Macaca fascicularis: one gene and its partners. The protein of the gene in region 6 purifies or fractionates together with the protein of the main gene of each other region. This does not show direct contact. Links are inferred from orthologs where the notes say so. Each region holds a gene or a part of one and is shown on either strand. Other genes may lie near its edges.

Region 1 (2,924 bases), on a different chromosome or scaffold from region 6:
TGCAGTATTCACTAACCAAGATTAAGCAGAGACACATTTACCTGGAGCGACTGGGACGGTACCAAACCCCTGACAAGAAGGGGCAGACACAGATCCCTAACCCACTGGTCAAGGACATTTTCAGAGTTTCAGAAGCCGAGTTTTTGGCCAGGACAGCCTGTTCTTCTCTTGAGGAGTTTGAGGTTTTTAAGAAGCTCCTGGCTCGGGAGGAGGAGGAGTCTGACAGCAGCACATCTGATGACAAAAGGGCAAGTCTGGATGAAGATGAGGATGAAGATGATGAGGAGGACGACGAGGCGGAGGATGATGATGAGGATGAGGACGACGAGGAGGAACAGCTATGATGGAAGGCCTAGAGCAAGGGCCCAGAGATACCAAGGAAGCTTTTCATTCTCTTAAAGCTTTTGGGTCCTTTACTTGAATCTTCTTAAGTTATTTTTTATTCTAAAACTGGTCTCTTGATGAAAAAAATTATAAGTCACCTGAGAGGCAGACAGAGCAAACCAAACCGGAAACAGGAAATGCACGTTTGATCTGTTGTCAGGTGTCTGTGAGGAAGGCCCTGTCCCATCCTGAATAGAACACTTACTTTGAGCTCTTCAAATCAAGGGCACTCAATACATCAACCTTTGGTTTTATTTTTTTCTCTTTTGAATATGTTGGTGATAATTCTGTGACAGTTGGAAGATGGGGTTCATTCTTCTGGTTCAGGAATCACTTTATATTTCCTTCTAGTGATAAAAATAAAATTACGAGAAGGCAATGTGAGGTTTTAGTACATCATAGCACTTTATTTTATGAAAACATGTAGCAGGCTTTCCACAGAAATACTTGTTTTTAATCCAAAAGTCTATTGCTTCGTGATGGCATTCAGTGTACAGCAGAATAAAAGGAAGTTGATTCGTGATGTATTGGTTAATTTTGCAGGCTTCCTAAGGCCAGCAGAACATTGTGGCAGTTTTCTTTATCTTTGTGAAGAACAGGCCCTTCCTGTTTGGGGAGGTTGGCTTTTATGTCAGCTCTTGGCCAGTGGTCACTTCCAGGCCTGGTGTCTCCGGCCCTGTAGACTGTGCTGGCCTGGAGAGTGCTGGAGCAGGTGGAGGCCAGGGAATGGTTCCATACAGTTATCTCCCCTGCCCTGGTTACAGACGGCTTCAAGAACCAGAGAAGAGCACAGGGTATGGAGCAGGTGGGCTGAACCAGGGCCACAGGGAGCGCTCCATGACCCCCAAGGTGGGGGTGGGGGGGTGTGTCACCTTAGGGAACTCAGTGAGTCCAAAGAACAGTTTGAAGTGTTGGGAACAGAGAAGAGGAATTTGATGTAAGCCAGGGATGATCCCTGAGGTAGAGGCCTGTCTCTGATGCCATGAGCTCTAAGAGGGTCCTGGAGGATTGGTACATCCTAGAACATTCCAGTTAGCCCCTCCTTAGGGGAAACTGGCATAGGATTGATGCAGAGAGCATTTTTGATGATAGGACCAAAATTCAAGTCTCCTTGGTAGCATTCTAGGATCGACTAGATTCTAGGATCTGGTAGATTCTAGTGGGTAGAGGCCAGGAATGTTATAAAACATCCTACAGTGCACAGGATGGCCCCACAAGAGAGAATGATGCGGCCCAAAATGTCAGTGCTGAGCCTGAGAAACTCATCTAAGGCCTGGTCCAATAAAGTAATGTGACTGTTCACTCGTGACAACTTCAGATGGTAAATGGACTTAGGATAGTATTATTTTATTTACAAGAAAAATAAGGAGCTGGTTTTTCAGCAGGGTTCCTTTCCCCTATGCACTGGACTACCCTTGGTAGGTGTGAGCTGCATGCTATTGTGGGGATTTGGCACTGAAGTCTAGGTGCTTTTGTTTTCTCCAGCAGCCTTGTCTTAGAGTGTGACTGCAAAGAAAAAGACTTGTTTTGCAAAAGAAAAGCAGCTCGGTGACTCCCTCCACATCGCCACAGCTGAGTCAGAGTCGCTTGCCAGTGGAAGGAGTTCCTGCTAAGGGGAGGTGCAGGAGGTGAGCTGACACCTGAGTGGGGCCCTTGCCTGTTGGGTTCTCCACTGGAGGACAGTGGGCAGAGCAAAGATTCCCTTACTTGTACCTGGTAGCCCACATGCAATGGGGAAAAGGGAGAGTTTGTCTTTATTGCCTTGCTTGGCCATAGGCAAAACTGTTTGGAAATGAGACATTTCACTGTGCCAGTGTTTTCATTTTCTCTTCCATGTGGCATCCCGGTCACTGCCACTCTTCCCAGAACCTAGGCTGCTGTTCTTGTGCCCGATCAGAGGACTAAGTAGAATCCTCTATCTGCACTTGGTTAGATGATCAGTCCATCCCAGTTTCATTAGCAAATGGGTAATTCAGCAACTCATGATTGCTTCTTTCATTTTGATACAGAAATAAATCTTTATGCTCCTGACAGTTTTCTGATTCTGTTATTACTAATGTCCTTGGGTGGACTTTGAGTATTTTCAAGGAAGCCATTTGAGTTTTTAAAAGAAGCCACGTGGGAAACGCTGTGGTGGCCTCTTTGGAATGTTTCAAGAACGAACTGTAATTCCTGAGCACCGGGAAGTCTTTTTACTAGATATTTAATGTGTAAAACATCCCAACAGACGAGTCCTGTGACAGCACAGCACCAAGCTTGGGACTCAGGAGCCAGTTCTCGTTGACACAAAGGCTTCTAAGCTAACACGGGAGCATATTGGCATTTGCTGTGTGGCTGAGGGGTTTGAGGTCCTAGTAGGGAGTAGAAAGTTTCCTAGTAGATTCACCTACTTTTCCAGTGATATCACTCGATCTTAGCATCTGCTAGTAATGCTGTAGCTTACATGGACAAACAATGACGGGTCCCACGGCTGCAGGAAGTCCGCAGTACGTGTTTCTGAACGTGGTTTTCTCTCAGTTCACCCAGTGACCCTTCACTGA
Region 2 (3,529 bases), on a different chromosome or scaffold from region 6:
TCGGAGCACCTGAGTATGGGGATGCATCGGGTCAAACGCATGCCAGGCACTGCCAGGGGCGCAACAGGCCCCACGAAGGGTGAGTCCACTCCAGAGCTAAGGGCAAGGGTCAGGCTGGGCTGGGAGTGGAAGGGGCTGGGGACTGAGCCCTTACCCTGGGGGGCCACGCAGTGTGAAGCTCTCATCCTCCTGCAGCTCCGATGCTCCGCCCTTGACCTTCAGGCTCCAAAGGTGCAGGCTGTTGTCATCCAGCAGGGTGACCAGCTGGCACTGGCGAGGGCACAGGGATGGGAGCATGTGGTCTTGCTACCCAGCAAGGCCTTTACACACTGGGGCCGCCCAGCCTGGGCTGGTTGTTTCAAAGACCCCCTGGCCACTCCCAGCGTGGCCCACGAGCCCCACCTGTGGAAAGGGAGGGGGTCCCAGGCCTTTCCAGCAGCAGCAAACCCAGGGCCACTGAATGCCAGCCTCTCCACACCAGCCCTGCTGGAAGCAGTGAGGGCAAGGAGGGTGTGGAGGTGGCTTCCTGTCCCACCCCAGGTCCCTCACCTGGCCGGGCAGGAGGTGGATCTGCGTCACTGCGTTGTTCTCCCGGTGCAGCCCCATGAACTCCACGCCCGGGGCTCCATAGCTACGAGCAGGCTCAGGAAAGCTCTGGAAGGCCAGACACCATCCCCTGACACCATCCCCTGCCCACCTTGAGTGCCAGGCCCTTGGGGCCCACATGCAATGAGTGCAAACACAGAGAGGGGCTGCCCTCCCCGCAGGCAGCAGGACTCATGCATGGAGCCTGGGATGGGGAGGAGATACAACAGCCCTGGCCCTGGGGCACCAGGCCAGTGACCCGACCCCTGGGAGATTTTTCCCAGTCAGGCCGGTGGGAGCAACTCCATAGAAAGGTGAAGCCCTACCCTGGCAACCGTCAGGCTGCCACCCTGATTCTGAGCTACAACAGACGTGTTGGCTGTCGCTTGGTAGCACCTGTGAAAAAACACACGGCCTATCCCCAACAGCCTCGGCACCAGGGATTGGTAACCAAAGTCTGGCTGTGGCCTGGCAATGATTAACCAGTGAGGGAAGGCTGAGCCGGCAGCAAGGCCCTGGCCCTCTGTGTACACCAGCCCAGCCTGGAACTCGAGCGCTCCATACCCCTCCCCCACACCGGGCAGAGGGGAAGAGGGACGTCAGGCTCCGCTGGAGGTGGCAGTCAAGCTGGCAGAGGTGGTCCCTCATCTCTCAGCTCCCTTGGGTCCTGCCCTGGGAGCACAGATCAGACTGGCGGGGTGCCCAACCTGATCCGGTTTTTCATCTCTGAAAACACCGGGAGCCCCCAGTCGGCCAGAACCAGTGCTCTGGATAAAAGATGACCCAACTGGACAACGTCCAGCCTCAGGCCGGGGAAGGACCGTCCCTGCCAGGCAGAGCCCTCTCCACTCTCTGCCGCCTGTGGGGGTGGGGGTGGAATTTGGAAGATGGCTGCCTGAGCCTAGCTCTCCTGGCCCAAGGCCACCCCACCTCTGCTTGTGGATAGGGACCTGGGGCCAGTCCACCTCTGATTCTTATCATGATAGGTTAAAAATCAAAACTGCAGGCTGGGAGTGCGGTGACTCATGCCTGTAACCCTAGCGTTTTGAGAGGCCAAGGTGAGAGAGTTGTTTGAGCCCAGGAGTTCAAGACCAGGCTGGGCAAGATCACAAGACCCTGTCTCCACAAAAAAAAAAAAAAAAAAAAAAAAAAAAATTGTTTTTGAGAGAGAGTCTTGCTCTTTGTTGCCCGGGCTGGAGCGCAGTGGCGCAGTCTCGGCTCACTGCAACCTCTGCCTCCCAGGTTCAAATGATTTTCCCATCTCAGCCTCCCAAGTAGCTGGGATTACAGGCATGTGCCACCACACCCTGCTAACTTTTTAAATATTTTTAGTAGAGACAGGGTTTTACCATGTTGACCAGACTGGTCTTGAACTCAAGTGATCCGCCCGCCTCAGCCTCCCAAAGTGCTGAAAAAAATTTTTTTAAATTAAAAACATTCCTAGTAACTTGCTTTTCTGGTGGTGAGGTGGGGAACTGAGGGAGGCAGGGGCACAGAAGGGCCCAGGCCTTGCTACTGACACACCAGCCAGCCACTCACTGACTGAGCACTGGCTGAGACACGGGCATCAGGTCCTTCCCCCTGGATCCACCAACACAACCCCTGCAAAACAGGTTTCTGAGCCCCCCAGCATCCTCAGCCCCTGCCCAGGACTGGGGGATTCCTGAAACCTCCAGGAGTAAGTGAGAGGGGGAAACTGAGTAAAGGGAGCAGACCACATGAATGGTCTTGAAAGGACACAAGGGACAAAATAAGCCTGTATCTCCTCAGTCTGTTTCAAACCTCACTGTCCTCCTGCAAAGGACAGGGTCACATCCCACCATGCCCAGGTGCCCACTCCACCATCAACCATACCCACCTCATTTTGGAATAAAATCATGTCCAAAGCTGGAAATCAGGAAAGTCTCTCATTTTATCCCAACAGCCCATGGGCAAGGAAGGAAAAAAAGATGTCCTTCCCCAAATCTCACCCACCCCAAGGCCCTGCCCGGCTGGGAGTGAGGGGACGGAGGATACAGCTTGATGGCTCCAGAACGGGTGCCGATGGCCAGGATGCGCAGGGACGGGCTGTAGCCGAGGGCGCTTGGCTGGTGCGGGAAGCCATGCTCCACCGTCTGCAACGAGAAGCACGCGGGGTGGGCGTGCAGACCTCTCCCCTTCATGCCACCATGGCTGCCGGAGCTGCAGCACTGGAGGACGCCAGCAGGAAGCAGGGATTCGGAACCTTTCAGGTTCCTCCCAGACACCTGAGTGTTGGAGCCTAACCCAAACTTACCAGGCCCCACCCCCAGTCCCTTTGTGACTCTGCCCTTGGCCTCATTGCCACTCCTTCGAGCTCATCCTCCTGGATGCCACGCCAGCCTCTCGATGCTCTCCAGGAACTGATTTGGTGTCTCCACCACATGCGCCCTGGGTGACGGACCCAGCCCTCCTCAGTGGCATGGGGGCCTTACGGATGTGGGGTGGGGAAAGTAGGGGGAGTTTGGAGCAATGGAGACACTGGTCTCTCGGGAGAAAAGCTTGGTTGCACCGCAGCTCCGGGCTCACCCAGGGGCCCAGAGTACCGCGGAGGCTCTGCCCTGCTCTGGGCTCTTCCAGGTCCCTCCAGGCCCTAGTCAGCTGGGTCTCATAGGCTCTTACTGTCACTGAGTTTCAACCATCTTTCCAGAAAGGGAATTCCTGGAATGTCGTTGCAGATACGTGTTTTTTCATTTATTACAGAAGTAATACACACACACTGTGAAAAACTTGGGAGGTATAAAGACGTTTAAGAACAAAAATTACCCAGACTCCCACAACCAGAAGTAACCCTTGCTAACACCTCAGTGTAAGTCCTTTGAGTCTTCTGCACTTGTGAATGTTTGCACAATTTTTTTTTTTTTTTTTTTTTTTTTGAGACGGAGTCTCACTCTGTCACCCAGACTGGAGTGCAGTGGCCGGATCT
Region 3 (4,303 bases), on a different chromosome or scaffold from region 6:
AGGCTGGCGGCAAGCACTGTGCCCACGCCCACGGCCGCGCCCCCCAGCGTCAGCTGCATGGGCCCTCGCAGCGCCGCCAGGCCCACCGCGTACGAGGCACTGCCCCACACCACGCACAGGCCGCCCAGCAGGAAGAAGCCTGCGGGAGAGGCAGGGTAGCGACAGGGCCAAGGTCGGGGGACGAAAAGGTATCGGGGGTGTGGGGGATGGTCTGGGAGCAAAGCCAGGGTTGAGGAGACAGGAACAGAGGCAGGGCCGTGCCAGGGGCTGGACTGCATCTTTGAGAATCAGATCAGAGGGGAGGGGACCATAGCCATGTCCTGGGCCACCCATTCAGATGGGCCCATGGGAGGGGTGTCTTCCTGGTGGGGGAAGAATGGGGGTTCTGTGCTTACTACTGGGAGTGGGATGGGGTGGGAAAGTCTACCCTCACCAGGACAGGTGGTAGGGGCTCTGGATTCCCTGGTTCCCTGGTGGAGGTGAGAGTGGGGATCTGTACTCACCATATGCTGCTTCGCGACCCATGTCACTCTGCATGAAGGAGATGACTCCGATGCCCGATGCCAGGAGGCCATTTCGGAACCAGGAGAGAAAGGCTGGAGGGAGGGAGACATGGGGGGATTAACATCACCCCCAACCCTACCTCCTCAATCTCCCTTGCCCTGTAAAACTGAAGGGGCTCCCCCTTCAGCTCACTCCACCCCATGCAGCCACAAGGCAAGCCCACCCCAAATCCTTACCTCTTCCAGGAAGTCCCTCACCTAACCACATCCCCCCACATGCTCTCTGGCCTCCACCTCAGTGCCCCTCTCCCACAAACTCTGTAACACTAAGGATTCAAGGGCTGGGTGCGGTGGCTCACGCCTGTAGTTCCAGCACTTTGGGAGGCCAAGGCAGGTAGATCACGAGGTCAGGAGTTTGAGACTAGCCTGGCCAACATAGTCAAACCCCGTCTCTACTAAAAATACTAAAATTAGCAGGGTGTGGTGGCACGTGCCTGTAGTCCCAGCTATTCGGGAAGCTGAGGGAGGAGAATCGCTTGAATCCAGGAGGTGGAGCTTGCAGTGAGCCAAGATCTTGCCACAGCACTCCAGCCTGGGTGACAGAGCGAGACTCCGTCTCAAAAAAATAAAGGATTCAAGATAGTCCCTGCAGAATGTGGAGGACAATCCAGGGGCAAAATTGCAGAACCTCCAATCTGAAGAGCCATCCTGACCAACCCCCTCCCTCTATGTATATCCCCACGGCCTGCCTACTTACTTCTTTCTCAGAACTCTGGGGCAAACTGTTTCCTAACCCAGGCCGCACTTCAGCCTCGCTCTTCCTTTCCTTCAAATGCCGCCATCTCCTACCGAGTATGGCCTGCGCCAATCTCATCCACGTCCGTCCCCATTCAAGTCCCTTACAAACAGCCCACCACACCCTATATCTAGATACCCAGTACTGGCCCAGTGAGGTGGCTCACGCCTGTAATCCCAGCACTTTGGGAAGCCAAGGCAAGATTGTATGAGCCCAAGAGTTCAGACCAGCCTGGGCAACAAAGCGAGACCCCGTCTCTGCATAAATTAAAATAGTTGGGCACGGTGGTGTATGCCTGTAGCGCCAGCTAAGCAGGAGGCTGAGGCAAGAGGATGACTTGAGTCCAGGAGTTGAAGGCTTCAGTGGGCTAAAATTGTGCCACTGCACTCAAGCCTGGGTGACAGAGCAAAACATTGTCATTAAAAAAATAAAATTGGCCGGGCGCGGTGGCTCAAGCCTGTAATCCCAGCACTTTGGGAGGCCGAGACGGGCGGATCACGAGGTTAGGAGATCGAGACCATCCTGGCTAACACGGTGAAACCCCGTCTCTACTAAAAAATACAAAAAACTAGCCGGGCGAAGTGGCGGGCGCCTGTAGTCACAGCTACTTGAGAGGCTGAGGCAGGAGAATGGCGTAAACCCGGGAGGCGGAGCTTGCAGTGAGCTGAGATCCGGCCACTGCACTCCAGCCCCGGTGACAGAGCAAGACTCCGTCTCAAAAAAATAAATAAATTAAATTAGATTAAATTAAATTAAAAAAAAAAATAGATGGCCACTCCGCTACATTCTGGACCTCGCCTCCGTCACAAGCCCCGCCCCCTGCAGCCTAGATCACCTCCCCCTCCAATCAGCAGAGAGCTTTTTCCCTATTGGTTGTCCCCTCCTCCAATCCTGAACTTCCCCCTCGTCTGCGGGGATCCACACTCCCGCTCTCTGCACAGTGGTGGCCTCTGTAATCGGGACGGACCCCTCTAGTATCCAACTCCACAGACTCTAAGCTTTCCCTGGAAGCCCCTCTTCACACGACAGGCGCGATTCTACGAGGCTGCCTCGCGCAACCCTACCACCCCCTCCAATCCCTACGGCGCCCCGTTACGCGGGGTCCTCGTCCTCCCCGAAAGCCCATCCTCTCTGCAAGCACCTGCGCTCTTGCACTCTGCGCTTCCGTGCGCTCACACTGAAGCCCTTCTCGGAGCCGAGCCGGGGCCCCGTTTCCTGCAGAAGCCTCCGCCCCATCGAGGTTCCACGCGCGCCCGGGACCCCCGTCCCATCCACACCGCCCCCACCTCCAGCCACCGACCTGTCTCGTGCGCCTTTCGGAGGAGCCAGGCGTCCGCACGGTCCAGCTCGGACACTGGGGGCGGCGAAGCCCCGGCGCGGGGACCGTGGCCGGGGGCGAAGGACCCCCGGGCGCCCCCGCTCCGGGGCCGCTGAGGCGGCAGTAGCGACCTCCGGAAGCGGAGACGGGCGAGGCGAGCGGCCCGAGCCCACCACCAGCCGCCTCCCATGGTTCGCACTACGGGCGCCGCGCGCCGTACCGCCCCACGGGCCTCCTGTAGGTTGCAACCCATGTCACTCAGGCTGAATGGCTTACCCATTGGCTATGCGCTCGCCACTCAGTTTCGGCGTGAACTGTCCATTGGTCGGAATGGTAGTGATTCCCTCCTCTGTCATCTAGGCCGGTAGTGCGCGTCCCTCCTTGATTTTGTCACTGGACTACGAATCCCAGCGATCATTGCGTTTGGGGAAAGACGATCTACAGAAGTCGTAAGCGAGATGTCTGCTGGAACTTGTAGTTTTTATTCTATTTTTTTTTTTAACGGAGTACACGCTGAACACCTATTGTAGTTCTTTTCTTTTCCTTTCTCTCTATTTCTTTCCTTCCTTCCTTCTTTCTTTCTCTTTCCTTCCTTCCTTCTCTTTCTTCTTTTTCTCCTTCCTTCCCTCCTTCCTTCCTTCCTTCTCTTTCTTCTTTCTTTTTCTCCTTCCTTCCCTCCTTCCTTCCTTCCTTCCCTCCCTCTTCTTTTCTCTTTTCTTTTCTTCTTTTTTTTTCTTCGGAGACTGAGTCTTGCTCTGTCGCCCAGGCTGCAGTGCAGTGGCGTGATCTCGGCTCACTGCAACCTCCGCCTCTCGGGTTCAAGCAATTCTCCGGCCTCAGCCTCCCGCATAGCTGGGATTAGAGGCACCTGCCATCACGCCCGGCTAATTTTTGTATTTTTAGTAAAGACGGGGTTTCACCATGTTGGTCAGGCTGGTCTCAAACTCCTGACCTCATGATCTGACCGCTTCAGCCTCCCAAAGCACTGGGGTTACAGGCGTGAGCCACCACACCCGGCCTGTAGTTTGTATTAATTACGTCAATTCCAATGGCCAGAAAACAAAACAAAACGTGGGGCACTTAATGGAGAATCTTTGCAAAATCTTGAAGATCTCAGAAAGGAGAGTAAACCTCAACAGTAATTCCACCAATGAGTGATTACTACTACCATCTTGTATTCCTGTCCAGTGTTTTTTCTATGCAGATATAAAATAAGATGCCACCTGACCATTAATTTTTCTTCACATAACAATATATTGTGATCATTAACCCAAAGCATTGATTTTTTATGGCTTTTTTTTTTTTTTAATTCTAAGTATCAGGCCAGGCCAGGCACAGTGGCTCACGCCTGTAATCTCAACACATTTTGGGAGGCTGAGGCAGGCAGATCATTTGAGGTCAGGAGTTTGAGACCAGCCTGGTGAAACCCTGTCTCTACTACAAATACAAAAATTATGGCCTGGCATAGTGGCTCACGCCTAAAGTGAGGCCAAGGTGGGTGGGTCACCTGAGGTCAGGAATTCGAGACCAGCCTGGCCAACATGGTGAAACCCCATCTCTACTAAAGATACAAAAAATTAGCCGGGCATGGTGGCGTGTACCTGTAATCCCAGCTACTCGGGAGGCTGAGGCAGGAGAATCACTTGAACCCGGTTGCAGTGAGCCAAGATCACGCCATTGCACCCC
Region 4 (3,999 bases), on a different chromosome or scaffold from region 6:
CCTCCCCTGCTCAGGATCCTCCTGGGGTTCCCAGCTAAGGGAGGCTTGTGCCTCAGGGCCTTTGTACCTACTGCCCCTCTGCCTGGCATGCACTTCCTCCAGCACTTCCTGTCGCTCAGGAGTCATCTCCTCAGAGAAGCCTCCCTAAGCCACCCTGGCTGCAGCAGCCGCCCTGGCCACACCTCCCTCCCCCTCGCCCTGCTTTATTTGATCCACAGCACTGGCTAACATCCCAACTACCGTCTATTCTATTTTTTTGTTTTGGCTTTTCACTGTCTCCTGCATTAGCATATCAGCCACCTGAGTTAAGACATATTTGTCCTTTTTGATAACTACTGTTGTCCCCAGAACCTTGTAGACCTCACACACAGTGGGGCTCAGTATTAACAGAGAAGGCACACTCCACAGGCGACATGTGGGCTGGACTGGGATTTGAACCCAAGACTCGGAGTCCAAAGTCCCTGCTCACTCCTGACCTGTCTCCCACCCCCCAAACTCAGGAATCAGGGGCCTATTCCCTAGCGATCCCCTATGACCCACTTAGGTGACTAAGTCCCTTCCCCAAGACCACCCTACTTTCCACCACTGCTGCCCACACTTCATCCTCAGTGGAGGGCCCTTACTTCCCACCACCCCAAGGCTAGACAGAGTGGGCTGAGCTTCATTCCCACCTGTCTCCAGTCCCCACTGCACATCCCAATTTACTGGCTGAAGAAATGACATTTAGGCCAGGCATGGTAGCTCATGCCTGTAATCCTAGCACTTTGGGAAGCCAACATGGATGGATAGATAGCTTGAGCCCAGGAGTTCGAGACCAGCCTCGGCAACATGGTAAAACCGCACCTCTACAAAAAATACAAAAACTAGCCAGGCATGGTGACATGAGCCTGTAGTCCCAGCTACTCAGGAGGCTGAGGTGGGAGGATCACCTGAGCCAGGGAGGTTGAGGCTGCAGTGGGCTGTGACTGTGCCACTGCACTTCAGCCTGGGTGAGAGTGAGACCCCGTTTCAAAAAAAAGTGACATTTAGCCCTGAGCCTGTTGCTGCCTTTCCCTGAAGGGCCATTCTCCTCTCACCTAACTCTCATAGCCTCCCCAGCACAGAAAACAGGCACTATCTGGGGACCACGGAGCACCAGCTTCCCCTCTGGGCCCCCTCTCAGGTTCCTGGCAGGTTCTCAGCCACCCTGTGAAGGTCCTGGCAGCTCTCACCGGCAACCACTGCAGACCTAGGCAGGGAAACCCTGAGACATCCCAGTGCCTCTGCTACTCCAGGTCCAACCGTCCCAGAGCCTCCTCCAAGACAAGGGTCTCCTCAAGGCAGCCCAGGGCACCTGGCACAACACTGGCCCAGGACCACAGCAGCCCCTTGGAAAAATCCCCGCCCCTCAAGGCTAAAATCCAACCCCACTGACACAGGAACTCGAGAAAGATATTGGTGCAGCTCACTCTGACTCTGGGCAAGCCGTCACCTCTCTCAGAACCTCAATTTTCTCACCTGTATTTTGAAGATAACTCTAATTTCGAAGAGCACTGAGAGGCTCTGCGATCCGTGGGCTCTGGGGTAAGAATGAGGACAAAACCAACGCCCCCAGAGGAGTGAGCCAGGAGCAGGCTGAGGCCCTGCTCTAACATCAGTGCATAGGGAGGCGGGGGCTGAGGCGGCCCCTTTCCCTGGCCCCTAGTGTCCCACTTGGGGAAAGGAAGGAAAAGCCTCCACTTCACTCCACCTTGGTGCGGGGCAGCAGGACAGCTGGCCCATGTGGCAGAGGGAGCCAGGGCCCACAGTAAGGAGAAAAGTAGCCTCATTTCACAGCTAGGGAAACTGAGGCCCCACGATGTGAAGGGCACTGTAGTACACAGCCAGGCATGTCCCCTGGACTCGGGGCCCCGGGCAGGGCAGGGGAGAGCAGGGCAAGGCAGAGCCTGGAGCAGTGGGGGAAGGAAGGAGAGGCTCCTTGAAGGGATTTCCCAGCCGCACCCCCCACAGCTGCCTCGTCCCCACTAACTCTCTCGCCCTCCTGCGTGCCAAAGCACAAAACAAACCGGGGCCCACGGCTGTCCCAAGGGCCGAGCAGGGACGCAAAGGAGCCCCAAAGAAAAAGGATAAAGAGACAGAGAGTGAGCGACAGAGAAGAGGTCGAGAGACTCCACAGAGAGAGAGAGAGAGACACGCAGGGAGAGACAGGCAAAGACTCAGAGACGCAGAGGCAGAAAGAGAAATGAGAGGCAAAGATAGGAAGGGGCAGAGGCAGAGACACCCCCACCACACACACAGTCACAACTGGGGCGAGGGAGCCGGTCAGCGACGGAGAAAGTGGGGCAGAGACCCAAAGACAGGCAAAGAGTCTCAGAGACAGAGAGACCCAGACACACAGAGACTGGCAGACCCAGGGCCAGAGCGGCCCGCAGAGACTCGGGAGCAGACACGGAAAGTCGGCCGGAGACCCAGACCCACCCAGAGTCCGAGCCAGAGCTGGGCCCGAGGAGGGGGTGCGCGGCCCGGCCCAGCCCCCGCCCCGCGCCGCGCTGCATGCCAGCCCCCGCCCCCCGGGCCCGACGTGGCTCCGACCCCGGGTCCCCAGCCCGGGCCCCCGGCCCGCCCCCTCCCACCCGAGCCCGCGCCCGCGCCGCAGCCGCACCTTGTTGAAGGCGAAAAGCTCTTGCTTGAGCTTCTCGCGCTGCGGGTCGGCGCCCTGCCGCCGGAACCGAAACTTCATCATCTTGCGCCCGGCTGCCGGCGCCGCGCCCGCCGCCGCCGCCGCCGCCGCCGCCGCCCGCAGGATGCGCCGCGCGGCCCCGCCGGTCCTGAGGCGCGGGCGGGGCACCAGGCGGCCCGGGCGCGGGCGCGCGGGGCCGGGCCTGCACGGGGGTGGGCGCGGGGCGCGACGGACGCACCGTCCGACCAATGAGCATGCCCGCCGTACCGCCCGCCCCGCCCCTGTTGGCCAGACAATGGTGAACTGGGCCCCCGGGCTCGGCCGGGCTCGCGAAGGGACGCCCGCCTAGCCTGCGCCGCGGCGCGGGGCCTGCCGGGACGTGTAGTCCATGAGCCGGGGCTCCAACGCGGGCGGCTGGGGAAGCGCTTTGGAGGGGGACTGGCGCATGTTCCTGGGCTTGGAGAAGATTTTTTCCTCCTCCCAGAGAGCGAGCGACGTGCCCACTCAAGTAATGGGGCAGCCCTATTCCGAAAGCCAAGAGATCTCTGACTGGAACAACTCCCTGGCCCCTCTGCGCCTCAGTTTCCCCATCTACACCATTGGTCAAGTGATTGCCAAGTTTATAGTTTACCATTCTCACAGAACTCCATTTTGTCTGTTCCTCGCTGTGTCAGAGCACCTCCCACCGCCGTGCTTTTGCCTTGGCTTTATAGTCAGGAATTCTTTCCTCACCCCCAGCCCCTGGGGAACTCCTACACATCTTTCAGGACCCAACGCAAAAGGCTCTGTCACAGTACAGGGGATTCTTTCTTAGCCAAAGAAAGAGACGGGATACCCAGGAGGTGGCATTTGGGACTGTTCTGGGGTTGGATTGGGGCTTTACTGAGATGGGGGAAGGGCCTGCCCCCACAGAGAACAGTGTATGAACAAAGCTTAGCCCTGCCCCTACTGTCTGAGGGGCCGTCTGCCTGTCCCCACCCACCTCCCAGGCCTTTTCTCATCTGGACAATGGCCTCGAGGCTGAACCTTTCCTTCCAGGCTGAGGATAGGTCGCCTGGCTCGGCACTGGGGTTGCGGGAGGTCCTAGAAGCTTAGGTGGGGCAGGTAGGACAGGCCCCAACCCCACCAGCTGTGTCAAGGGAGGAGGAGCTGACCTGTGACCCCGAGGCAGCTGCCAAGCCTTGGGGCCTGGCTGTCCCCCTCCACCCACGCCAGGCCGGCCGTGTTCAGCCCTTCCCCGGATTTGGGGCTGGATCCAGAAGAGGGGCCAGGAGTGAGTGGGGAGGTGAGAGGAGGGAGGATGACGACAGTAAAGCCCCTAAGTGCCTACAGCGGGGCAG
Region 5 (4,135 bases), on a different chromosome or scaffold from region 6:
ACTTTCCAGAGACTAGATATGCAGTCGGTGAAACTTACTCAAAGCACACTGAATGAGGAAAGCGGCTGTGACAAAAAGGATGAGGATGTCCCGGAGGAAGTGAGGTCCACAAAAAATTTTACATTAAAGGAACTCTGAGACATTGCATGGCATTGGAAGTGCAAAGGATAAAATACTGCGTGTAATCCAAATGTGATGTTTTGCCAAGGCACAGAAAAGGTGTTCTCTTGGTATATAAGAGTTACACTAGAAGAAGACAAGCACTGTTCAAGTTATTCTTAATAAGTTTTATTTTTACAAAGACATAAAACACTTTAATTCTCAATGTTCGAATGTTTTAAACTGTTTTTATTTTTCATTTCCATATACAGTGTATTTGTAACCATCAGTTAAGCGAGTTTTGAATGGCTCTTTTGTTGTTGTTGTTTGTTCTTTCCAAGACAAGGACTTGCTCTGTCACCCAGGCTGGAGTGCTGTGGTGCGACCTTGGCTCACTGCAGCCTCGGCTTCCCCGGCTCAAGCGATTCTCTCCCCTTATCCTCCTGAGAAGCTGGGACTACAGGTGCACACCATCACGCCTGGCTCATTTTTTTTATTTTGTAGAGACAGGGTCTCACTGAGTTGCCCAGGGCTGGTTTCGAACTCCTGGGCTCACGCCATCCTCCCGTCTGGGCCCCCCAAAGTGCTGGGATTACAGGCGTGAGTCACCGCGCCCGGACTGCTTTGAATGTTTTGAGAAAAACTGTCTAAAGTCGTGGAACTATCTTAATTTTTCCCATTTATTATTAAGGTAGTTTTGCATGGTTCAGTCATTTCCAGGGTCCAGAATGACCGTGTAAGCGAGGACTGCATGTGCGTGTAGTACGTATTCACAATATGCATTATGTCAATGTGAAGTCAACCACTTTGGGGTAGAACACATCAATTGATGGTTACAAACCAACAGGCGGTGCTTTTTTTTTTTTTTTTCTTTTTTTCCATCTGTGCTGTAAGTGTGCTGTTGGTATTCTCTTTGGGTGCTAACGGTTGAAAAGGAGCTCCTGCCAGCCGCTGAAAACACCGCGACACGCGGGCGCAGGGCCTGGGCAGGGCGGCCGGCGCGCAGGTGGCCCGGCCTCGCCCAGCGGCTCTGGAGCGGGAGCCACGCCAGCCCGGCCTCCCGCGAGACCCGCACCCGCCCGCCGGAGCGCGCCGCGGGGCCACGGCCTGCAGGGGTGGAAGGGGCGGCGGCGGCGGGAGCTGCGGGCCACGCACGGCGGCGGCGGGAGCGGCCGGGCACGCACGGCGACGGCGGCGGCGGGAGCGGGAGTCCGAGCCACGCACGGCCGCAGCGGCGGGCGCGGCGGTCGCGGGAGCGGCGGGAGCTGTGGCGGCGGCGGATGGCCCAGAGCTGATCTATGCGGCGCCTGGAGGGGCTGTGTCTGCGGCGGCGGCGGCGGCGGCGGGGCCCTGCCCGCGAGCGGAGCGGGGACAAGATGAAGTACCAGAAATACCTGACGGTGCTGCAGATGGCCATCGGCGTCACTCCCTCCAACCGCGGCAGCCTCCTGCCGCTCAAGAGGAAGCTGTGGTGAGGCGGCCGCGCGGGCGCGGAACCGCAGCCGGGCCAGGCGCGGGCCGGGGCGGGGACCGGAGTGGGAGCGGGGGCCGGGGCGGCCGGGGGGGCGCGAGGCCGAGGCTGCCGGGCCCGACGGGGCGCGGGGCGCGCGGGGCGCAGCAGCCAAGGCCGAGCGCAGGGCCGACTGCCGCCTTGTGCCGCGTGCCCGCTGGCTGGTTTCGCCGAGACCCTCGCTGTGCCGGCGGCGTGTACGGCGGCGGGGAGCTGCCGGGACCCCTGGCACCCGCACCCGGGCGTCGGCCTCCCGCCTCTGTCTGTCCTTTCTGCTCCATTACGGCGGGTTCTGGCTCAGAATTTCCAGCCAGGCTCTCGCGGAGACAGCAGAGAATTCATTAGTATCACGGTGTGCGTTTTCAGTTATTTTTCAAAAATTCATCTGCTGCTGAGTGCAGAGTAGAGGACGAGTAAGGCAAGGGGAATAAGTTGGGACATTATTATTGCATTGTCGGGGACTGTATTCTACCTGCATGCGTTCCAGTTCCTCCGACCTGGAGACTGTTACTGAGGTAATGAAGAAAAAACACCTTTCAAGAAAAATGTCTGGACCTTACTGGTTTACGTTGCTGATTATCTACAGGATTGTATATTGCATTTTATTAATCATATTCCGTAATCCAGACGGAATCCTAGGAGCCTCCTAGGTATTCCACTGGCTTGAGATTTAGGCTTAAGGTTCTTTTGCAAAAGAAGTAATCTAGTAAAGGGAAGATGACTACAGAAAAAAGATGCCAGTTGTCATGACAGTCAGTGGTCATTTTAATTTTAGAATTAGTGGTCAATGTAGCTCATAAAGGTTTTATTCAATTCAACTGAACACAGTCTTATTTAATCCTAAGGTTATAGAGAAAGGAGATGAGGCTGCTTTTAGGTAATGAGGAAAGTAATTCCTGCTGTGTAAGACAGTGTGAAAGAATGATCCTTACCAAAGTCTGTAGTGGTCAGCCAAGAAAAAGATGGGTTAAGAAAAAGAATCCTAAAAGTGGAGAATTTTGAAGGTAAGACGAATATGGACAGCAAAGTTCAGATTTCAGCTGTGCCACGTTCTGTGTGACCTTAAACAAGTTCCTGGAGTGTCTGTTTCTTCCTCTGTGAAATGAGAATCTTGTTATCTCCCTCATGGGGATATATACAGATCAACTCTGATAATGAATACGAAGGTGTCTACTACCACTGTGCCTGGCTTAATCATAGGTGCTTAGTAAATCTTAGTGTCTTTCTGCCTCCACCAATTTGTTTTTTAAAAAAATAAATTTATTCTGCAAAAGATATTTTAATGTGCCGGATGCAGTGGCTCACGCCTGTAATCCCAGCACTCAGGCATATGGCCTGAGGTCTGGAGTTCAACACCAGCCTGATCAAGGTAGTGAAACCCTGTGTCTACTAAATAAACAAATAAAACAAACAAACAAATACAAAATTAGCCGGGCGTGGTGGTGCATGACTGTAATCCCAGCTACTCCGGAGGCTGAGGCGGGAGAATCACTTGAACCCAAGAGGCAGAGGTTGCAGTGAGCCAAGATTATGCCACTGCACTGTAGCCTGGGCAAGAGTGAGACTCCGTTTCAAAAAAAAAAGAAAGATATTTTAGTGTGATGAACAGCAAGTGACAACACTTAGAAGACAAGATTAGCCACAGTTGAATTAAAACATGTCTGTGGGAGATGTTAGCAAATAAATGAAGACTGTCACTAACTACAGTGAAGGAAGAAGGGGTAACACTTGAAGATCGCTTCTCAGATTGATGGTATATGGGGGTATGGGAGATACCAGCACCAGTAGTCATATCTCCCATTTTGCTTTTCTCCTGAGCACTTATCAATAACTAACACACTGTTTATTTTACTTATTTTTCATATATATTCCCCCTCTCCTCACTAAAACGTAAGTTGCATGAGGGAGAGCTTTTGTCTGTTTCATCCATTGCTGTAAAACACCTGCAGCTGATATCTGGTTCAAAGGTATCAGAAAGCTTCTCAATAAATATTTGCTGAATAAATGGATTCTTAATAATTTGTGACTGGGAAATAATATGTTAGGGAAATCTGTTTTTTTTTTTTTTTTTGAGACTGAGTCTTGCACTGTTGCCCAGGCTGTAGTGCAGTGGTGCGATCTCGCCTCACTGCAAGCTCCGCCTCCCGGGTTCACACTGTTCTCCTGCCTCAGCCTCCCAAGTACCTGGAACTGCAGGCACCCGCCACCATGCCCGGCTAATTTTTTGTACTTTTAGTAGAGACCGGGTTTCACCGTGTTAGCCAGGATGGTCTCGATCTCCTGACCTCGTGATCCACCTGCCTGGGCCTCCCAAAGTGCTGGGGTTACAGGCGTGAGCCACCACGCCCAGCCAAGGGAAATCTATTTTCTAAATGTTCAGTTTTAAATTATTTATTTATTTATTTGAAATAGTTTTGCTCTTGTTGCCCAGGCTGGAGTGCAGTGGCAGATCTTGGCTCATTGCAGCCTCTGCCTACAGGGTTCAAGTGATTCTCCTGCCTCAGCCTCCTGAGTAGCTGGGATTAC
Region 6 (3,987 bases):
TTTTGAAGGAAAGTATACATCCTTCAAAACTCCACCAACAATTCCTAGTCCAGTTTTCTATTGTACAGATTAAAAAGTTAAATTCCTTGTGGCACTAACCAAAACTTAAAAATTAACAGAAGACTGAATTAATTAAAAAAAAAAAAAGCATACTAACTAATCAAAACAATCCACTGTGCAATGAATATTTGAACAATGAAAAAAACCTACCAAGCATCCCAGTCAATTACATAGTTCTTGCTTCCATATTTTAATTTTGGACTTTCAGGAAGGTATATTATTAAACAGGTCGATTTTGTGGACTGTTTAAACCTTGTAGTATTTCAAAATATTACCCTTTCTAAACCAAATCTGTGGTCCTGGTCAACTTTTTTTTTTTCAAGAAAAAGAAAGGATATGTGTTTAAAATACATTCCGTAGCAGTAGAAACATCTTAGTGTCTCAAAATCTATTTACAAAGAACCCTGCTGATCCTGTGCATTTCGCTGAGGTGCTACTTGCACCCAGACTTCATCATCTGAAAAAGAACTTGAACTTCCTGACTCAGAGTCCAGCTCACTGAATCCATCTAAGTCCCATTCAGTACTAGACTCACTCCGTGCATCATCTTCCTCAGTAATAAAACTCTGACCAGGTTCAAGGCAGGAAGGATAAACACGGGCACAAAGGCAAATAAAGCCAGAGTCAAACTGCAAAAGGCCTAACATAGTACCTATATTAATCCACTGATCTTCCCTAGTATCATACTCATACACTGTTACTCGGTTCTTTTTCCATTGTGGGGTTGTAGAAGTGATGAGAAGCAACTTTCGGTCATGATTGACAATCTGGTAGTTGTGGGTCTCTGAATCCAAAGGAATATTACTAATCCGCCTCCATTCTCCCCTAGCTGGGTTGTAGACCTTCATGACTGGGATGTCACAGATACAATAGATTTCATCATTGAAGACACATGCTTCCTGAAAGTCACTGCGTTTAAGAGAAGCACAGTTCAGCCACATATTGTGGCTAGGATCATAGCAGAGCATGCGCTTACTGTTGACAGCATAAAGATAGTTCTGAACCACTATGAGTTCAAAGGAATAGAAGGAATGAGGGACAGGAGCCACCAATGCCCACTGGTTTCTCTGAACACTGTAGCATTCCACTTCCTTCAACTTAACTCCAGTAGTAGGGTCTCGCCCCCCCAAAATGTAGATGTAGCCATTGAGATATGCCACATCCATGCCCTCACGACACAGCAAGCGATCTGCAAGTTGCTGCCAACTATTCTGAGCTGGTTTATACACCCAGAGGTCTTTCCTTGGCTGGGCAGCTAGATAGATGTCATGGTCTGGGGAGACACAGACAGCTGAGGAGGTAACAGTCTTAGTGTGAGCAAAGCTGGTCAAAGGTGATGGCATTGTGTAAATGTCCCCTGAGTAAGGGTCATAGCAGAGAAAGGGATCTCTCGGGTGTCCAAAGAAGATCACCATCTCCTTGGCACACATACCCAGTCTCTGGGGTGGATTTTCTGCTGCAGATACAAGAGAGTTGCTGCTGCTACTGCTGCTGCTGCTGCTGTTTGGCACTGGCACCAGAGACTTGTACAACAGGTCACCATAGCGCATCTGCAGGGCCCCTTCAATAACGTCCAGGCAGTACTTCTTCACGATGGGCTTGGTCAGCAGCCCTTCTAAGTAGTCCTGATCTTCTTCAGTGAAGTGCATCCAGCGCACGCACTTGAAGACTTCCGCAGCACTGGGACCCCGCTCCTTGGGAGCAGCCTCCAGCCACTGCACAGCTACATGGCATACAGTCCGCTCACTCTCTATGTCCAGACTATCCAAGCGCAGGACAGCCAGCAGCTGGGCCAGGGTCAGATCTGCTAGAGTCTCTTCCCGAATTGAACCCATTCGGCTGAGCTGCTTGAAGTTCTGAGCTATATAGGACTGGGCCTGAGATCGAAGCTTGTGATGGTCGAAGGCGTCTGCAAACTTGAGGATGGCGGTGCAGTTGGTCAGGTCAAGACGTCGGGCTAAGAAGGAGGCACAGGCTTCCCGCACATACTCCAGTTGCAGCATGTCGGAGGCTGCGTACAGGCGCTGCACATTGGCCTCGCTGAGAGAGACACGACCCGTGTAGCAGTAGTCGACCAACACCTCGAAGGACTCGGCGTCCACATCGTGCATGGTCACGCTGGCCTGCTGGCTCTCGTACATGCCACCTGTGAACATGCTCTTGAAGTAGGGACACGCAGCTGCTAGCACGTTGCGATTGCAGGAAAAGAGGCGACCCGTGCCAGGCCCGCTGCCAGGCGTCACCACCTCGATGGTCACATCACACAGCAGCCGCGCGTCGTAGAAAGACTTGAGCTGTGCCAGCAGGGCTGCAGAATGGGCCGTGTCCTTTAATTCCTCTGGACCCGTGAAAAAGGCCGAAACCGAGGGCTTGGAAATCCTCTTGGGCCGCCTCCCACCGCGGGGGCTGGCGAGGCGGCGAGAGCGCGGGGCGTCTTCCCGGGACTGCATGGTGGAGATGGCGACGGGCGCTGATAGCGAGAAAGGCTGCCGGACCCGGCTCTGGCTCCTCCTCAACCTTCCCTCGCTGACGCTAAGACAAGCCGCGTCCTGGAACAGACTGCGGCACGGGCCGCACTTCTGAATTCAGCCTTAGCCCGCGGTGAGGTCTCCCTTTATTGCGTAGACAGTGGCTGACTCACCCTCTCTCACTCCCGCGCCCTTTCTCCGCCTCCGCTCGCCCTCACAGGACCCGCTGGCTTGGAGCCGCGGAAGGCCCCACTGCCGCGCTGGCGATCCCGCTAGGCGCCCAGGAGAACTACCGCTTCCAGGTTGCCTTTCGCGCCCCGAGGCCTGCTGGGGCTCTCGGACGGCCGGGCGGGGACAGAGGGAAAGAAACCGCTTTGCATGTTGGGAGTAGTAGTTTGTGTAATATCGCGAGCTTTCCTTTCGCTGACTGCCCTAACAGTAGAAATTAATTCTGGATATGATGGTGAAGTGACGATGTCTCACTATTGTTGTCCAGGCTGGTCTTGAACTCCTGAGGGCTCAAATTATCCTCCTGCCTCTGCCTCTCAAAGTGCTGGGATTACAGGCGTGAGCCACCGGGCCCTGCCAGTATTTCATAGGGTTTTGTGTGATTGAATGATACGTTACATAGGATACTTAGATACATGTATTTTTTTGGTTAGAAGAACAATAAAGCGTTACCCCGTGCCTAGAATGTAGCCAATAATTGTTAGATTCTCTTTTATAATTTATGATAAATGAGGCACCCACTAATTTGAAACCAAAAAATTTTTAAAATTTTTAAAATTATTTTAAACCGCAAAATTTTACAAAGAACTTAGTTTTTAATTTTTATTCTTTTGAAAGATTTTGAAGGGCATTAACTATTTTCAATGTTAAATGGTACGTATTGGCCTTGTTTAATAAGGATGTCTTAGACGACTAGGTTGAGGTCCTAAAGAACGGTGTTAATAGATGGCCTCAAATATGCAAATCGGGCATATAAAAATAGATTATTTGCTACTCTCACTAACATTTCATCTCTGGGGAGCAGGAATATTTTCATTAAGCTCCAAATATGAGTGTTTTCAAGTCGTCTAATACAGTCTCTTTCACTGCCATTCCACATATCAATTAACAGATTCTGTAATTGCCTTTATTAAGGAGTTTTAGGGAGTATTTAACTCAAAATATTTCAAGAAACAGACTTTGTTCTGTACAAAAGCACGTGATTCTCAGAATTCAGCATTAGTACATGCCCTGACATTCCTTGAATTAACATACAGTATAGCCTATGCTTTACAAAAGTCTTTTATATTTGCATTGATCAACAGTTAAATCATCAAAATCAAGTATTAGAGATTTGAGGCAGGAAAATAGGGTCTGGAGGCAGGGAACATAAGGCCGATTCACACTTTAGCTATAACAAGAAATACCCTCTCCATAGGGTGTATGCCGAGTAAATGAGTTTGTAACTTTA
Region 7 (4,249 bases), on a different chromosome or scaffold from region 6:
CAGTCTCAGCTACCTGGGAGTAAAGAAACAGGGTCTGGAGCAGCGAGCAGAGGCAGAGATAGGAGGAAAGGTGGCAGGAAGGGGCCCAAGCCCAGACATCTCCATCTCTAGAGACCCCTGGTCTCCCAGCGCATACCTCCCAAATGCCTCCCACCTGCCATGCACTCTAGGTACAGCCTCTCACTTAATCCTGAGAGGTTGGCGTTATCACGCATTTTACAGATTGGGAGACAAGAGGCATAAGGAGGTTTAATAACTGGCCTATTGTTGCAAAGCCACTGAGTGGTAGGGCTGGGATTCAAACCCAGGTCCACCTGGCCCGCAAACCCATGCTGTGCCTTGCTGCTTCTCAAAGTCACCCTGCCAGTTCCCCCACCTCGTTACCTGTGGCTGGGAAAAGGATGGCCTGGGAGACATCCTCCTCCTCCGTGGGCTCAGAGCCCCTGCGTGTGAAGCCCCCCAGGGCATGTCTTCGGAGCAGCCGCCTGACTCCAGGGTCCCCACCTTCCCTGGTCACCACGGGGGACCCCAAGGCATCCAGGAACAGGGCCCTCACCTTGGCCAGAACAAGCTCCCGGGCCAGCTCCGGCCCTTGGCAGCTGTGACCACCCTGTGGGGCCAGCAGCAAGAAGAGCAGTAGGGGCAGCACCATAGCTCACCTGGCCCTGCTAGCGGGGAACCCACACCCTCCCCCGTGCCCTTTCTGCCAGGGTCTGCCCAGGGCAGCTCCACTCTCCCCATCCCACACCCACCCTCTTCTACCCTTCTCACCCAGTCTTCTCCAGTCCTTTCCACGCCCCACAGTCCGAGTTGCCCCTGCCCGTGGCATTGAAACCTCCTATCTCTGACGCAGATGTCTGTGGCCATGAGCCTTATCTCCCACTCCCGCCAGGGATGTTGGGGAGGGACTGGGGAGGATTTCGCCCCAAGCGACCTGACTCATACAAGCAAACATTACAACCCCTTCTCCTACACACACACACACACACGCACACACGCACTCTCTCACACACACACACACATCCAGAGGTTTACATCAGGTGGGACAGGAGCCTGGGAGCTGCAGCCGGCCAGCCCCGGAAAGTGTCATTTGTCAGGGAGACACAGTGCACCACCCCTCAGACCTTCTGGGGCCCCTTTCAATAAGCAGCTGCTGGGCCGGCCAGCCCTTGGGGGAAGGGCTGGAGCCGGGGCTAGAACCGGGGCTAGGGCCGGGGGCAGGTGGTCCTGCCTGCTCTATACTTAGCCCAGTGGAGCCAGTCTGGGCTCTTGTCCTCCAGCTGTGTCATCAGAGAATATTTTTGGGATTGGCAGCTGCAGGCGCCTCTGCCACTCAGGCCCAAGCCTGGCGGGAGGCTAGGGACCTGGCGGCTGGAGGTGGGAGGGAGGAGGGGGAAGAGGCCCAAGCTGTGGGAGGGGGCTGGGAAGAGAGGCTCCCAAGAGCAGGAAGCCAGGCAGCGGGCAGGAGAGGCTGCGGGGCCCCTCGCTGGAGAGGCAAACAGGAAGGACTGCCCCCTGAGCGCCAGGCTTCGGCCCGGGAATCGCCGCCGCCGCCGCAGAGCTGCAGCTTGGGGCCGAGGGTAAGGAGGCGAGCCGGGAGCAGGAGGCCCGGGAGAGCTTCGCGGGTACCCGCGCCTGGTCCGCAGCCGCGCCCCGGCCCCGCCGCCCCTGGCCTCTGCTCGCCCTCGGCCCACCCTCCCCGTTGGCCGCTGCAGGCGGTCTGAGACAGCTGCGATGAAGGCGAGCTCAGGGGACCAGGGGAGCCCCCCGTGCTTCCTGCGCTTCCCGCGGCCGGTGCGGGTGGTAAGTGGCGCCGAGGCGGAACTCAAGTGCGTGGTCCTGGGGGAGCCGCCACCGGTAGTGGTGTGGGAGAAGGGCGGGCAGCAGCTGGCGGCCTCGGAACGCCTGAGTTTCCTGGCGGACGGCGCGGAGCACGGCCTGCTGCTGAGCACCGCACTGCCTACCGACGCCGGGGTCTACGTGTGCCGCGCCCGCAACGCGGCGGGCGAGGCCTACGCGGCGGCCGCTGTCACCGTGCTGGAGCCACCGGCCTCCGAGCCCGAGCCGCAGCCCGCCGAGCGCCCGCTGCCACCGCCGGGGTCCGGGGAGGGCGCCCCGGTCTTCCTCACGGGGCCCCGATCCCAGTGGGTGCTAAGGGGGGTGGAGGTGGTGCTGACGTGCCGGGCGGGGGGCCTCCCTGAGCCCACGCTGTACTGGGAGAAGGACGGGATGGCCCTGGACGAAGTGTGGGACAGCAGCCACTTCGCGCTCGAGCCCGGCCGCGCCGAGGAGGGCCCCGGCGCGAGCCTGGCGCTGCGCATCCTGGCAGCTCGGCTGCCGGACTCCGGCGTCTACGTGTGCCACGCCCGCAACGCGCACGGCCACGCGCAGGCGGGGGCGCTGCTCCAGGTGCACCAGCCCCCTGAGAGCCCGCCCTCGGACCCCGACGAGGCCCCCGCGCCCGTGGTGGAGCCGCTCAAGTGCGCTCCTAAGACTTTCTGGGTAAATGAGGGCAAGCACGCCAAGTTCCGCTGCTACGTGATGGGCAAGCCCGAGCCCGAGATCGAATGGCACTGGGAGGGCCGCCCGCTGCTCCCGGACCGCCGCCGCCTCATGTACCGCGACCGCGACGGCGGCTTCGTGCTCAAGGTGCTCTACTGCCAGGCCAAGGACCGTGGGCTCTACGTCTGCGCCGCGCGCAACTCGGCAGGCCAGACGCTCAGCGCGGTGCAGCTGCACGTGAAAGGTACGGCGGCGCCCGGGGCCTGGGGAGGGGCCTCTCGTGTCCTCCGAGGCCCTCCGAACACCAGCCCTCCTCGGTGCGCAGCACTGCCCCGAAGACTGGAAGAGAGGAGGTCCGCGGCAATATTAAAATATCAAACCCGCCCGCCTCCCGCTCTCCAGGGATTCGGATTTACTAGGTCTCCCGGGTACTCAGGAACTTCTTAGCAAACTCCCCAAAAGATTCCGAGGCAGATGGTGGAACACCACTAAGGAGTGATTGATGTACAAACCTGGAGGGCGGTAGAACTCTTCTCCCCTAGTGGTTTTCAACGTCTTTGTTATTTTACTTCTCCTTCCCCAACTGAATTCACAACCAGAGTCCCAATATATGAGACAGATAAAGGAGTATTTTGTGGGCCTAAATTGCTAAGTCTGCTTGTATAACAGGTACTTCTAAAGCATCAGTGAGAATAAGGAGGCTATTTTATTGAATACAGGCATTTGAAGTGAAGACTGCATTCATGAGTCCAGGCTCTGAACCCTGTGGGAACAGCCTGGGTGCGTCTGTCACCTTGAGAAACAAGTGATTCAGTAGAAAGCTAGACAAGGGAGGACAAATGTCCTGTGTGTTTTTACTGTTCTTTGATTAAACTACTCCCCACGTTTGCAAGAAGAGGAAGGTGAAGGAGAGAAGGTTTATATTTCAATGTTGAATCACCAACAATATCCAATAAACGCTTACATTCTCATAAACAGAAAATTCAAAGGGAAAAAAAAAAAGCACACCCCAAACTCACCATTAGGTAACGCTCCCCATAATAGGATTTCATCACAATGCAAAGGATTATACCTTCACTAGTTATTGTCCAGATTTTTCTCTTGGAGGAAAAAAAAGTTGGTAAATTCTCCTGAGTCCTGCCTGGCACGCAGTCAAGGATGTGGCCCCTGGGCTGCGGTGGTGGCCTCGCTGGTACAGTTCAATGCACACAGATTTGTCAGGCTGGTGCTGATCTGGACCTCCATCAGGAAAGAAAAGCCCCGAGGGAAGGCTGGAGGAGCTTCCCAGAGTTGGATACACACACACTGAAACTTGCTTCTCCAGCAGCCCGAGTTAATTCTCTAGTTTCTAACATCCTGTTTTCTTTTCTTTCTTTCTTTCTTTTTTTTTTTGAAATACACTTTTGAAAGGGGTTAAAATAGCCAGGCGAGGTGGCTCACTCCTGTAATCTCACCACTTTGGGAGGCTGAGGCAGGAGGATCACCTGAGGTCAGGAGTTCGAGAACAACCTGGCCAACATGGCGAAACCCTTTTTCTACTAAAAATACAAAATAATTAGCTGGGCGTGGTGGCACGTGCCTGTAATCCCAGCTACTTGAGAGGCTGAGGCACCAGAATTGCTTGAACCAGGGAGGTAGAGGTTGCAGTGAGCCAAGATTGCACCACTACACTCCAGCCAGGGCAAGAGAGCGAGACTCCATCTCAAAAAAAAAAAAAAAGAAAAGAAAAGAAGAAAAAAAGAAAAGC

What was found.
Region 1: the proteins of KBTBD7 (region 6) and MTERF4 purify together in Homo sapiens (co-immunoprecipitation; 3 studies listed by BioGRID and IntAct, counting the BioPlex papers as one, with this or other methods). This does not show direct contact. The link is inferred for Macaca fascicularis from reciprocal best matches to the Homo sapiens genes KBTBD7 and MTERF4.
Region 2: the proteins of KBTBD7 (region 6) and LLGL2 purify together in Homo sapiens (co-immunoprecipitation; 4 studies listed by BioGRID and IntAct, counting the BioPlex papers as one, with this or other methods). This does not show direct contact. The link is inferred for Macaca fascicularis from reciprocal best matches to the Homo sapiens genes KBTBD7 and LLGL2.
Region 3: the proteins of KBTBD7 (region 6) and TMEM160 purify together in Homo sapiens (co-immunoprecipitation; 3 studies listed by BioGRID and IntAct, counting the BioPlex papers as one, with this or other methods). This does not show direct contact. The link is inferred for Macaca fascicularis from reciprocal best matches to the Homo sapiens genes KBTBD7 and TMEM160.
Region 4: the proteins of KBTBD7 (region 6) and LLGL1 purify together in Homo sapiens (co-immunoprecipitation; 4 studies listed by BioGRID and IntAct, counting the BioPlex papers as one, with this or other methods). This does not show direct contact. The link is inferred for Macaca fascicularis from reciprocal best matches to the Homo sapiens genes KBTBD7 and LLGL1.
Region 5: the proteins of KBTBD7 (region 6) and TJP1 purify together in Homo sapiens (co-immunoprecipitation; 3 studies listed by BioGRID and IntAct, counting the BioPlex papers as one, with this or other methods). This does not show direct contact. The link is inferred for Macaca fascicularis from reciprocal best matches to the Homo sapiens genes KBTBD7 and TJP1.
Region 7: the proteins of KBTBD7 (region 6) and OBSL1 purify together in Homo sapiens (affinity purification with mass spectrometry; 3 studies listed by BioGRID and IntAct, with this or other methods). This does not show direct contact. The link is inferred for Macaca fascicularis from reciprocal best matches to the Homo sapiens genes KBTBD7 and OBSL1.

What each region holds. Positions count from the first base shown.
Region 1 is NC_088386.1:137,015,947-137,018,870, reverse strand, and holds the end of MTERF4 (transcription termination factor 4, mitochondrial), read left to right. Parts: coding exon 1-344; 3' UTR 345-1,869; coding exon of another isoform or gene 1,870-1,890; 3' UTR 1,891-2,417; downstream 2,418-2,924. UniProt on the Homo sapiens protein: Regulator of mitochondrial ribosome biogenesis and translation. Binds to mitochondrial ribosomal RNAs 16S, 12S and 7S and targets NSUN4 RNA methyltransferase to the mitochondrial large ribosomal subunit (39S).
Region 2 is NC_088390.1:81,955,655-81,959,183, reverse strand, and holds part of LLGL2 (LLGL scribble cell polarity complex component 2), read right to left. Parts: intron 2,700-3,529; coding exon 2,602-2,699; intron 632-2,601; coding exon 550-631; intron 271-549; coding exon 155-270; intron 1-154. UniProt on the Homo sapiens protein: Part of a complex with GPSM2/LGN, PRKCI/aPKC and PARD6B/Par-6, which may ensure the correct organization and orientation of bipolar spindles for normal cell division.
Region 3 is NC_088393.1:55,046,207-55,050,509, forward strand, and holds the start of TMEM160 (transmembrane protein 160), read right to left. Parts: upstream 2,818-4,303; 5' UTR 2,808-2,817; coding exon 2,600-2,807; intron 597-2,599; coding exon 504-596; intron 363-503; coding exon of another isoform or gene 334-362; exon of another isoform or gene 140-333; coding exon 1-139.
Region 4 is NC_088390.1:18,351,804-18,355,802, reverse strand, and holds the start of LLGL1 (lethal(2) giant larvae protein homolog 1), read right to left. Parts: upstream 2,801-3,999; 5' UTR 2,723-2,800; coding exon 2,642-2,722; intron 1-2,641. UniProt on the Homo sapiens protein: Cortical cytoskeleton protein found in a complex involved in maintaining cell polarity and epithelial integrity. Involved in the regulation of mitotic spindle orientation, proliferation, differentiation and tissue organization of neuroepithelial cells.
Region 5 is NC_088381.1:7,488,300-7,492,434, forward strand, and holds the start of TJP1 (tight junction protein 1), read left to right. Parts: upstream 1-1,306; 5' UTR 1,307-1,397; coding exon 1,398-1,570; intron 1,571-4,135. UniProt on the Homo sapiens protein: TJP1, TJP2, and TJP3 are closely related scaffolding proteins that link tight junction (TJ) transmembrane proteins such as claudins, junctional adhesion molecules, and occludin to the actin cytoskeleton.
Region 6 is NC_088391.1:20,547,980-20,551,966, forward strand, and holds the start of KBTBD7 (kelch repeat and BTB domain-containing protein 7), read right to left. Parts: upstream 2,823-3,987; 5' UTR 2,511-2,822; coding exon 453-2,510; 3' UTR 1-452. UniProt on the Homo sapiens protein: As part of the CUL3(KBTBD6/7) E3 ubiquitin ligase complex functions as a substrate adapter for the RAC1 guanine exchange factor (GEF) TIAM1, mediating its 'Lys-48' ubiquitination and proteasomal degradation.
Region 7 is NC_088386.1:115,501,273-115,505,521, reverse strand, and holds the start of OBSL1 (obscurin-like protein 1), read left to right. Parts: upstream 1-1,429; 5' UTR 1,430-1,734; coding exon 1,735-2,746; intron 2,747-4,249. Other genes in the region: INHA (inhibin alpha chain), read right to left, coding at 385-610, 772-867. UniProt on the Homo sapiens protein: Core component of the 3M complex, a complex required to regulate microtubule dynamics and genome integrity. It is unclear how the 3M complex regulates microtubules, it could act by controlling the level of a microtubule stabilizer.